Cricetulus griseus: one gene and its partner. The protein of the gene in region 1 purifies or fractionates together with the protein of each later gene. This does not show direct contact. Links are inferred from orthologs where the notes say so. Each region holds a gene or a part of one and is shown on either strand. Other genes may lie near its edges. The genes, in order: Sh3pxd2a and Fgd1.

Region 1 (3,804 bases):
GCTGCTTTGTGTTAACCCCTTAGTATAAGGAAGAACAAATACGACGATGAAACCGGGCATAGTACATCCTTTTGTGGTTACAATCTGCCAGGCTGACTGTCCATGCAGCTTATACTGGCTGCCTCAGAGCAGCACCAAGTAGGTGCACAGAAAACGGCTGTTTAAAAAGAACGTGGCTCATGGCTCATAGGCCAAGTGTTCTAAGTGTCCTTAAATACCGCTATGAGAGAAGTTGTGTGCCAGCGCCTAGAAATCATATAGGCGTTCTGGAATATTCTGCCTGCCTACTGAAACAGGGCTACATTCTGTTCAGGGCACCAACAGGCTAACCTCCTCCCAAAGACCCCTCCCCAACCAGCTGCCCCCATGCTCCTACTTCACTGTCCTGAGGACGGCTGGCTCCCTCACCCTCTTCTCCAGAAGCTGCCCACTTGGCTTAGACCTTAGACTTATAAAATGGTGGTTTCCATGCTTTCCGTCTTGGGGTCCAACTCTTGTGACCTTTATAGGAAGCATCCCAAGAGCTCAAACTAGTGTTGTCTGGACCGTGAGTGCCATCTGGGGGGAGTCCTGATGTGTAAGTGACAGCTGCCTTCAAAGCCAGCTGCTATCCAGCTAGCAGGGATGGCCACAAGCACCTGAGGAGCCAATGGGCACCAGTCACTGGCCTTAGTACCGCTCTGATTAGCTCTATTTGCTCACTGATTGTTTCTGCTTTAGGGGTTCCAGCTGCCAAAGCCACCAGAGCCCCCTTCTGTTGAGGTAGAATACTACACCATTGCTGAATTCCAGTCTTGCATTTCTGACGGCATCAGCTTTCGGGGCGGACAGAAGGCTGAGGTGAGCCTCCTTTGGGCTAAGGATCTGCTTCATATTTTTTTGTATGTCTTCTTGGCAAGGTTTCTGAGGGTCAGGCAGGGCAGGTACCGAAGTGAGCCTGTGGCCATGAGTACTACTTGCCTAGTGGGGGAGCAACCAGGACTAGAGCCCGAGACTTGGGTTTCTGCCCTTCGCTTGCTTACAGTGCTTACCCCATAGTGGCATGTCCCTAAACATGCAGGGTTGAGCACGACAAGCCTGGAAATGAAGTGCTGCTGAAGGTGTGTGAACTTCCAGGGCAGAACAGTTTGACAGTTTGCTTCATCAGGAATGTTTTATTTGGGAGGACACACACACACACGCACACGCACACGCACGCACGCACGCATGCATGCAGATCAGAGGAAAATATTGTGTATTGACCCAAGAAATCCTAATGAGATTTTGTTGAGGTTTTTGTGGATACTAGGAGGACATTTTGCAGGGAGGATCTGATCTCAGGCCTGGTTTATGCCTCTTCCCGTTCTCACCTGAGAGACCCTTTCAAAGGGTACTGGACATGGGTGGAGATCGGGAACAATGGAACACTGGTTCTTTATCCATATTGATCCTTCGCAAGCTGGTTTTTGTAGGGTCTAGGAACAATGTGCTAGATTTGGGGGTGTTGTGGAGTTATTGGCACAGACTTAGGGAGCCTCACAACCAGGACCAGGGTTTGCATCTAGCCTGCCACTGACTGCCATAGGTCTCAGAGCCACTTATTCAAGATCTGTGTCTATAAAATAGGCCGAGTGGGACATTGTAGGGACCCCGAGACCCCTGGACTCACCGGCCTGTCCCTCTTCCCTCAGGTCATCGATAAGAACTCAGGCGGCTGGTGGTACGTGCAGATTGGGGAGAAGGAAGGCTGGGCCCCCGCGTCATACATTGATAAGCGCAAGAAGCCCAACCTGAGCCGCCGAACCAGCACCCTGACCCGGCCCAAGGTGCCCCCGCCTGCACCCCCCAGCAAGCCTAAGGAGACCGAGGAGAATCCTGGGGGTGCCTGTGAGAGCCAGGACTCCCCACTGAAGCTTAAGTATGAGGAACCTGAGTATGACATCCCCGCCTTCGGCTCTGACTCAGAGCCTGAGCTGAGTGAAGAGCCCACTGAGGACAGGGCCTCAGGTGACAGGCGACCTGCCCAGCCCCGAAGGCCCTCACCCGCCTCCTCCCTGCAGCGGGCACGCTTCAAGGTGGGCGAATCTTCTGAGGACGTGGCCCTGGAGGAGGAGACGATCTATGAGAACGAGGGCTTCAGGCCCTACACAGAAGATGCGCTGTCTGCCAGAGGCTCCTCTGGGGATAGTGACTCCCCTGGAAGCTCCTCGCTGTCCCTTGCCATGAAAAATTCCCCCAAATCAGGGTCTCCCAAATCATCATCACTGCTAAAGCTCAAGGCAGAGAAGAATGCCCAGGCAGAACTGGGGAAAAACCAGTCCAACGTCTCCTTCTCCTCTTCCATCACCATCAACGCCACCTGTTCCTCCTCCTCCTCCTCCTCTTCCTCCTTGTCCAAGAACAGTGGCGACACGAAGCCACGCTCTGCCTCAGATGCAGGCATCCGTGGCACCCCCAAGGTCGGGACCAAGAAAGACGCCGATGTGAAGGCCGGGCTGGCCTCCTGTGCCCGAGCCAAGCCATCGGTCCGACCAAAGCCAGTCCTGAACCGAGCCGAGTCTCAAAGCCAGGAAAAGATGGACATTCGCTCCTTACGGCGCCAGCTGAGGCCCACAGGTCAGCTGCGGGGGGGCCTCAAGGGTTCTAGGAGTGAGGACTCAGAGCTGCCCCCCCAGACAGCCTCTGAGGGGTCCAGGAGAGGCTCTGCTGACGTCACTCCCCTCGCGGCCACCGGCCCCCCGTGTGTTCCCAGGATGGAATGGGAAGGGCAAGGCACCGCCTATGTGACACGCAGTGCCTATCAGAAGGTCCAGGGCTCCGAGATCAGCTTCCCTGCGGGCGTTGAGGTGCACGTGCTGGAGAAGGCAGAAAGCGGATGGTGGTATGTGAGGTTTGGGGAGCTGGAGGGCTGGGCTCCTTCCCACTATTTGGTGCCGGAGGAGAACCAGCAATCTGACGCCGCTGGCAAAGAGCCAGACTCAGTGAAGAGCACTCAGAATGAGGGCAAGTCGGACAGTCTGGAAAAGATCGAGAAGCGGGTTCAAGCGCTGAACACCGTGAACCAGAGCAAGAGGGTCACCCCACCCATCCCCTCAAAGCCTCCTGGGGGTTTCGGCAAGACCTCGGGCACCGTAGCGGTGAAGATGAGGAACGGTGTGCGGCAGGTGGCAGTCAGGCCCCAGTCTGTGTTTGTGTCTCCACCACCCAAGGACAACAACCTGTCCTGTGCCCTGAGGAGGAACGAGTCACTAACGGCCACTGACAGCCTTAGAGGTGTGCGCAGGAACTCCTCCTTTAGTAGTGCACGGTCAGCAGCCGCCGAGGCCAAGGGCCGCTTGGCAGAACGGGCTGCCAGCCAGGGCTCAGAATCACCCCTGCTGCCTACCCAACGCAATGGCATCCCCATCTCCCCCGTGCGTCCGAAGCCCATTGAGAAGTCTCAGTTCATCCACAATAACCTGAAAGATGTGTATATCTCTATTGCAGACTATGAGGGGGATGAGGAGACAGCTGGCTTCCAAGAGGGGGTGTCCATGGAGGTGCTGGAGAGGAATCCCAATGGCTGGTGGTACTGCCAGATCCTGGATGAGGTGAAGCCCTTCAAGGGCTGGGTGCCCTCCAACTACCTTGAGAAGAAGAACTAACAGCACTGGGTCCTTCCAGACTCAGTGTGCTGCTCTGGCTGCCACTGAATGAATGGTGGCATGCAGACAAGGGGAAGGACAACGGGAGGGGGGAGGGGATGACAACATTGAACCCTGCAGAATATGTGACCCCCGAAGACACCCTCCAGCTGGAAGGGAGGGTGTGATGGGTGCACACACT
Region 2 (4,341 bases), on another chromosome or scaffold:
GAACAAGGATTTATTGCATATTTGCCTTGTACTAGGCACTACACTAGTTCCTTAGGTATACAATAATGAACAAACCAGGCACAAGCCCCTTGCCCGCAAGGAGCGCACATTCTGTCACAGGAGCAGCAAAACCAAGCAGACACATACAAGAGGGTAGTTTCAGACTGTATTAAATGTAAGGACAGACACACACTGGCAGCTGTGATGGAGATTCACAAGAGGCCCTACTTAAAAGTGGTCAGGGAAGGTCTCTCAGAGGGGACATTTGAGCTGAGAACAGAAAGATGAGGAGCAAGCCAGGTGGAGGGCTGAGGGAAGGGCTAGCAGGCAGCAGGCAAAGCAAATGCAAAGGCTCTGCAGTGGGAGAGTTGTGGGTGTCTGGGGATGTGCAGGGAGGAACTAAAATAAAATAAGTATGTCTGATTAGCCTCCTCTACACAGCATGTGTCCAGGGGAGTTTGGAAAGGCAGTAGAAGCAACGAGCAGGGCAGGCCATTAAAGGGTTGTCAGCTGGCTATCTCCAGTTCACGAGGGGGAGGGGGTGCCTAAAATCTCCCAGAGGTTCCATAACTATCCAAAGAACAGACAGCAGTGAGAGCCACTGCCTGTGCTTTACAATTCACTGTTACTGTTACCTGGTACTGAGCCATAGTACTAGTGACCTGTGGAAGCTGAGATAGGAGCCCTGGAAGCAGCTAGATGCACGCTCACCACCTCCTTCAGTCCCAATGAAGACAGGGCAGATATTCACTGCTTTCCCTTCAAGGCCCGTGTGAAACTATCCTAGAGACTCTGCTAGGCTGCTCAGATACTCAGGCTATGAAAAGGCCCATCCAGGTCTATGGCCCGTCTGACCTAGAGTTGTTCCACCATTGCAAACCCAAGCAACAACCATCCTGATTATCTTTTCAAACAATCTGCTGGCCCTGAAGCTCTCCCTTCTGACCTTTCTGCTCTCTTCCTACCTACCAGCCCCTTGAGCCCTTTCCTTCAGGCTCATCTCCACCTTTCTCTCTCATCAGTACCTCCTGTGCCGCCCTTCCCTTGTACTTTGGCCACAAACACCTAGCAAAAGCACAATCTAGGATCAGTCCACCATCTCCCTCTCTCTCTTTCTCACACTTCAGGGCTACTGAATAGTACAAGGGGAAATCACATAAGTAGAAAGCTTAGCATTTATGTCTAGCTTCAGTTTGGGGAAACAGAAAGACCACAGATTTTGGACTCTGCTCTGGTTTTGAATCCAGGCACCATAATGACAGTATGACCTTGGACAAGTTACTTCTCAGAGCCTCAGTCTGCACCCCTAAAAATGTGGTTGATGAAACTCACTTCAGATGGCTCCTGAAGCTGAAACTAGAACCCTTGTAAAAGTACCCAGTTCAGTGCCATGCACAAATGTAGGCACTTAGCTAATGGGAGACTTCTCTCCTATTCCCCTAACCACATCCCCACTGCTGCCTTCAAATCCTGCCCCCTTTTCTTGGGAGTGCTTCCTCTCCTGTTAGCCTCAGCAGTTAGAAGAGAAAGGACTCTTAAGGATTGAGGGCGCAAGGGACAGAGAAGAGCAAAGGCTGAAAGAACTGGACGGAATGCTGCAGGAGGGAAAAGGAAGAGGTATTGTGGGAACTCAAGGGGTTAGGGTGAGCATATCGGCCCTAAGCCCTAGAACAAGAACCCGTTCCCAGTACCAGGCCCGTGGCCCAGGTTCCCATGCCGTCTGGATCACTCACCAGGCCGAGGCTGCGAACCCTCCAGGTGGTAGGAGAAGCGCAGGGCCCGGTGGTGCTGTGGACTAGGGCCGCAGGGCAAGACCCGGGAGCTTGGAAGAGCTCCCAGGCTGGCGTCCGAGGGTCCCACAAACTGAGGATCCAAAGGCCCTCCAAGAGCCGAGCCTGAGCCCCGGCGCACCGGCAGTCCGGGTTCCAGGGCTCCAGGGTCCGAGTCGGCACAGGCCAGTGGTGCGGCGCCAGGGGTATTCGCCGCCAAGCGTTCGGGATCCGAAGGCCCAGGGCCCCCCGGGACTCGGTGGCCATGCATGGTCCGGGCCTGGGCGCGGGGCCCGGGCTCCCCGCTTGGCTCCAGTTCCTGGGGCGGAGGCGCGGGCGGAGAAGGCCCGGCGCCCGGCGGAGCAGCGGCCTCAGGCTCGGGGGGCGGGGCTGCGGGCTCAGCCCCACTGCGGAGACTCGAGCCCCCGACCCGGGCTCCGGCCAGCAGCCGTGGCAGCAGCAGCAGTAGCCGCGGCCACCGCCGTTGCCGCGCCAGGCATCGCCGGCCCTGGCCCCAAGCGGGGAGTGGGCTCGGCGGGGCCGGGGGCCCGCTGGGGAGCGCTGTCTATGCGGCTGCGGCTGGGCGAGGGTCGGGGGCTGCGCTAGGCACGGGCTCTCCTGATGGACGGCCAGTCACTTCCGTGGCCGGGGGCGAGCGGCCAGCCGGATCCCAGCGAGGGGGGTCTCTCCTTTCTGCCGGAATGAGAATCGACCTGGGTTCTCTGGGCTGGTCGGGAAGGGTTCTTCCTCCCGCCGCAGCGGAGGCTGGGGGCGGAGGAGAGGGGAGGGGAGAGAGGAGAGGAAGGAGGGAAGAGAGGACGGCCGTGGCCGGGAGGCGCGCGTGTGCGCCGCGCTCTCCGGCTGGCTGCGAGGCTTGCCTTTGGGCAGTCCTCCAGGACGATGCTCCAGCCTCGCGAACAGAGGAACGGACCAGACCGGGCTTCTCCGCCTTGGGCCTGGGTTTCCACCGCGGCGGGCGGGAAGAGCCCTGGGAACTGGGGGGGGGATGGGGAAGCGCGAGCCGTTGCTGAGACAGCCGCAGCCACCGCGGCGCTGGGACCCAGTTACTAGAGTCCCGCCCCCTCGTCGGGATTTGAGCTTGGCCACGCCCCCTCGCTTGGGCCAGTTTCACCTCTCGCAGGAGCTTAAGGCCCTCCTTTTCTGCTGGCCCTGAACTTCCCTTCAGTTTTCCTTCCCATCCTTCCCTGGTCCCACATAGGCAAGTCTCCCAGCTCGATTTCCAAAATCTACCCTTCCGTCGTATTTCATGTCTTCTTCCGCTCTCCCATCACTCTCCTACAAAGAAGCCTTTCCACGTATTTCGGAGTTAAGCTAGGCTTGGCTCATAGTGATCCTTTGCAAATCTTCATTTCCTCAGGCCAGATCTCATGGTCCTTTACTTCCCACTCTTGCAGCCTTAGTTCCTTCTTTTGTCCGTTATCCGACTGGCAGCAACCCAATCCTGAATCGGTCCAACTGTTTGCCTTTCCCCCCAATACTTGTGCCCAGGCAGCTGAACACTACTGGATAATACTACAATTTTCTAGATTTGTATCATGAGGAACCCTCATTTCCCAGCTTCTACAAGTTCCTCAGAACTGACCTATCGCTCTACTAGTAGTCAACTTTCTCTTGCATTTCCCCACTATTCCCTATTTAAATCTCACCCACAGTGGCCATTTCAAATCTAGTCTCCCCAACATCTTGAATTTGCCCCCTAGTATTAAGCAAATAAACCCTACCTCTTACTACGTGGAGTGAACAGAAGACACCAGAGAAGAGGTCTTGTCTTGAGTTCTTGCCACCAAATCTCTGAATTTGTCCCCGTGTTCCTTCTCGACTTTAAATACACCTCGGGTATCTTTCATCTAAAAAACAATCACCAAACATTCTTTTTTTTCACAAATGACTCAGGACTTGCTCACACTCAACTACCTCATTTCCTACCTCCTACTTATCTTTAACCCTGTTCCAACTCACCTCCACTACTTCTCCCAAACTGCTTTCTTATCAAGATCTACCATAGTTTATGTCACTAAATCCAAAAGAATCTTTTCAGAGGTCATCCTTCTTGGCTTTTGGGTAGCATTTGGGTAGCGCTAGTGACCACTCCTTCCTCCTGAAATTACTTCCCTATGACATAATACAATGTTTATTTTCGTCCTTTTTTCCTTTTCAGGTTCTTCCTTGTCTCTTGGTATCATTGGCCTGAGCTCTGTTGTCTTCTCTTGAGCTCTTTGGTCCTTCAGTGTCTCATTTGCTTCCATGGCTTTGGTTATCAGTTCTTTGCTGATAATTCTAAAATAATTCAAATCCAGACATTTCTCCTGGCCCAGACATAGAGCTGATTATAAGACAGCATTGCTTGAATATCCTAGAGAAACCTAAAATCTCAGTTCTTCCCCAACTCAAAATATCCTCCTCTCAATGAGTTTGTGTTTTTGTACCTACCTTGAGTGAAGGATCTAGGTCAAAAGTAGAAACCCGAGTTATACCGACTCTTCTCTATCCTATACTCTCCATGCAATTACCAAGTTCTGTCATTTACTGGAACATCTCTAACGTCTATTTA

Evidence for each region.
Region 2: the proteins of Sh3pxd2a (region 1) and Fgd1 purify together in Homo sapiens (affinity purification with mass spectrometry; 3 studies listed by BioGRID and IntAct, with this or other methods). This does not show direct contact. The link is inferred for Cricetulus griseus from reciprocal best matches to the Homo sapiens genes SH3PXD2A and FGD1.

The regions. Positions count from the first base shown.
Region 1 is NC_048596.1:14,278,560-14,282,363, forward strand, and holds part of Sh3pxd2a (SH3 and PX domain-containing protein 2A), read left to right. Parts: intron 1-720; coding exon 721-840; intron 841-1,670; coding exon 1,671-3,623; 3' UTR 3,624-3,804. UniProt on the Homo sapiens protein: Adapter protein involved in invadopodia and podosome formation, extracellular matrix degradation and invasiveness of some cancer cells. Binds matrix metalloproteinases (ADAMs), NADPH oxidases (NOXs) and phosphoinositides.
Region 2 is NC_048604.1:108,419,802-108,424,142, forward strand, and holds the start of Fgd1 (FYVE, RhoGEF and PH domain-containing protein 1), read right to left. Parts: upstream 2,826-4,341; 5' UTR 2,041-2,825; coding exon 1,734-2,040; intron 1-1,733. UniProt on the Homo sapiens protein: Activates CDC42, a member of the Ras-like family of Rho- and Rac proteins, by exchanging bound GDP for free GTP. Plays a role in regulating the actin cytoskeleton and cell shape.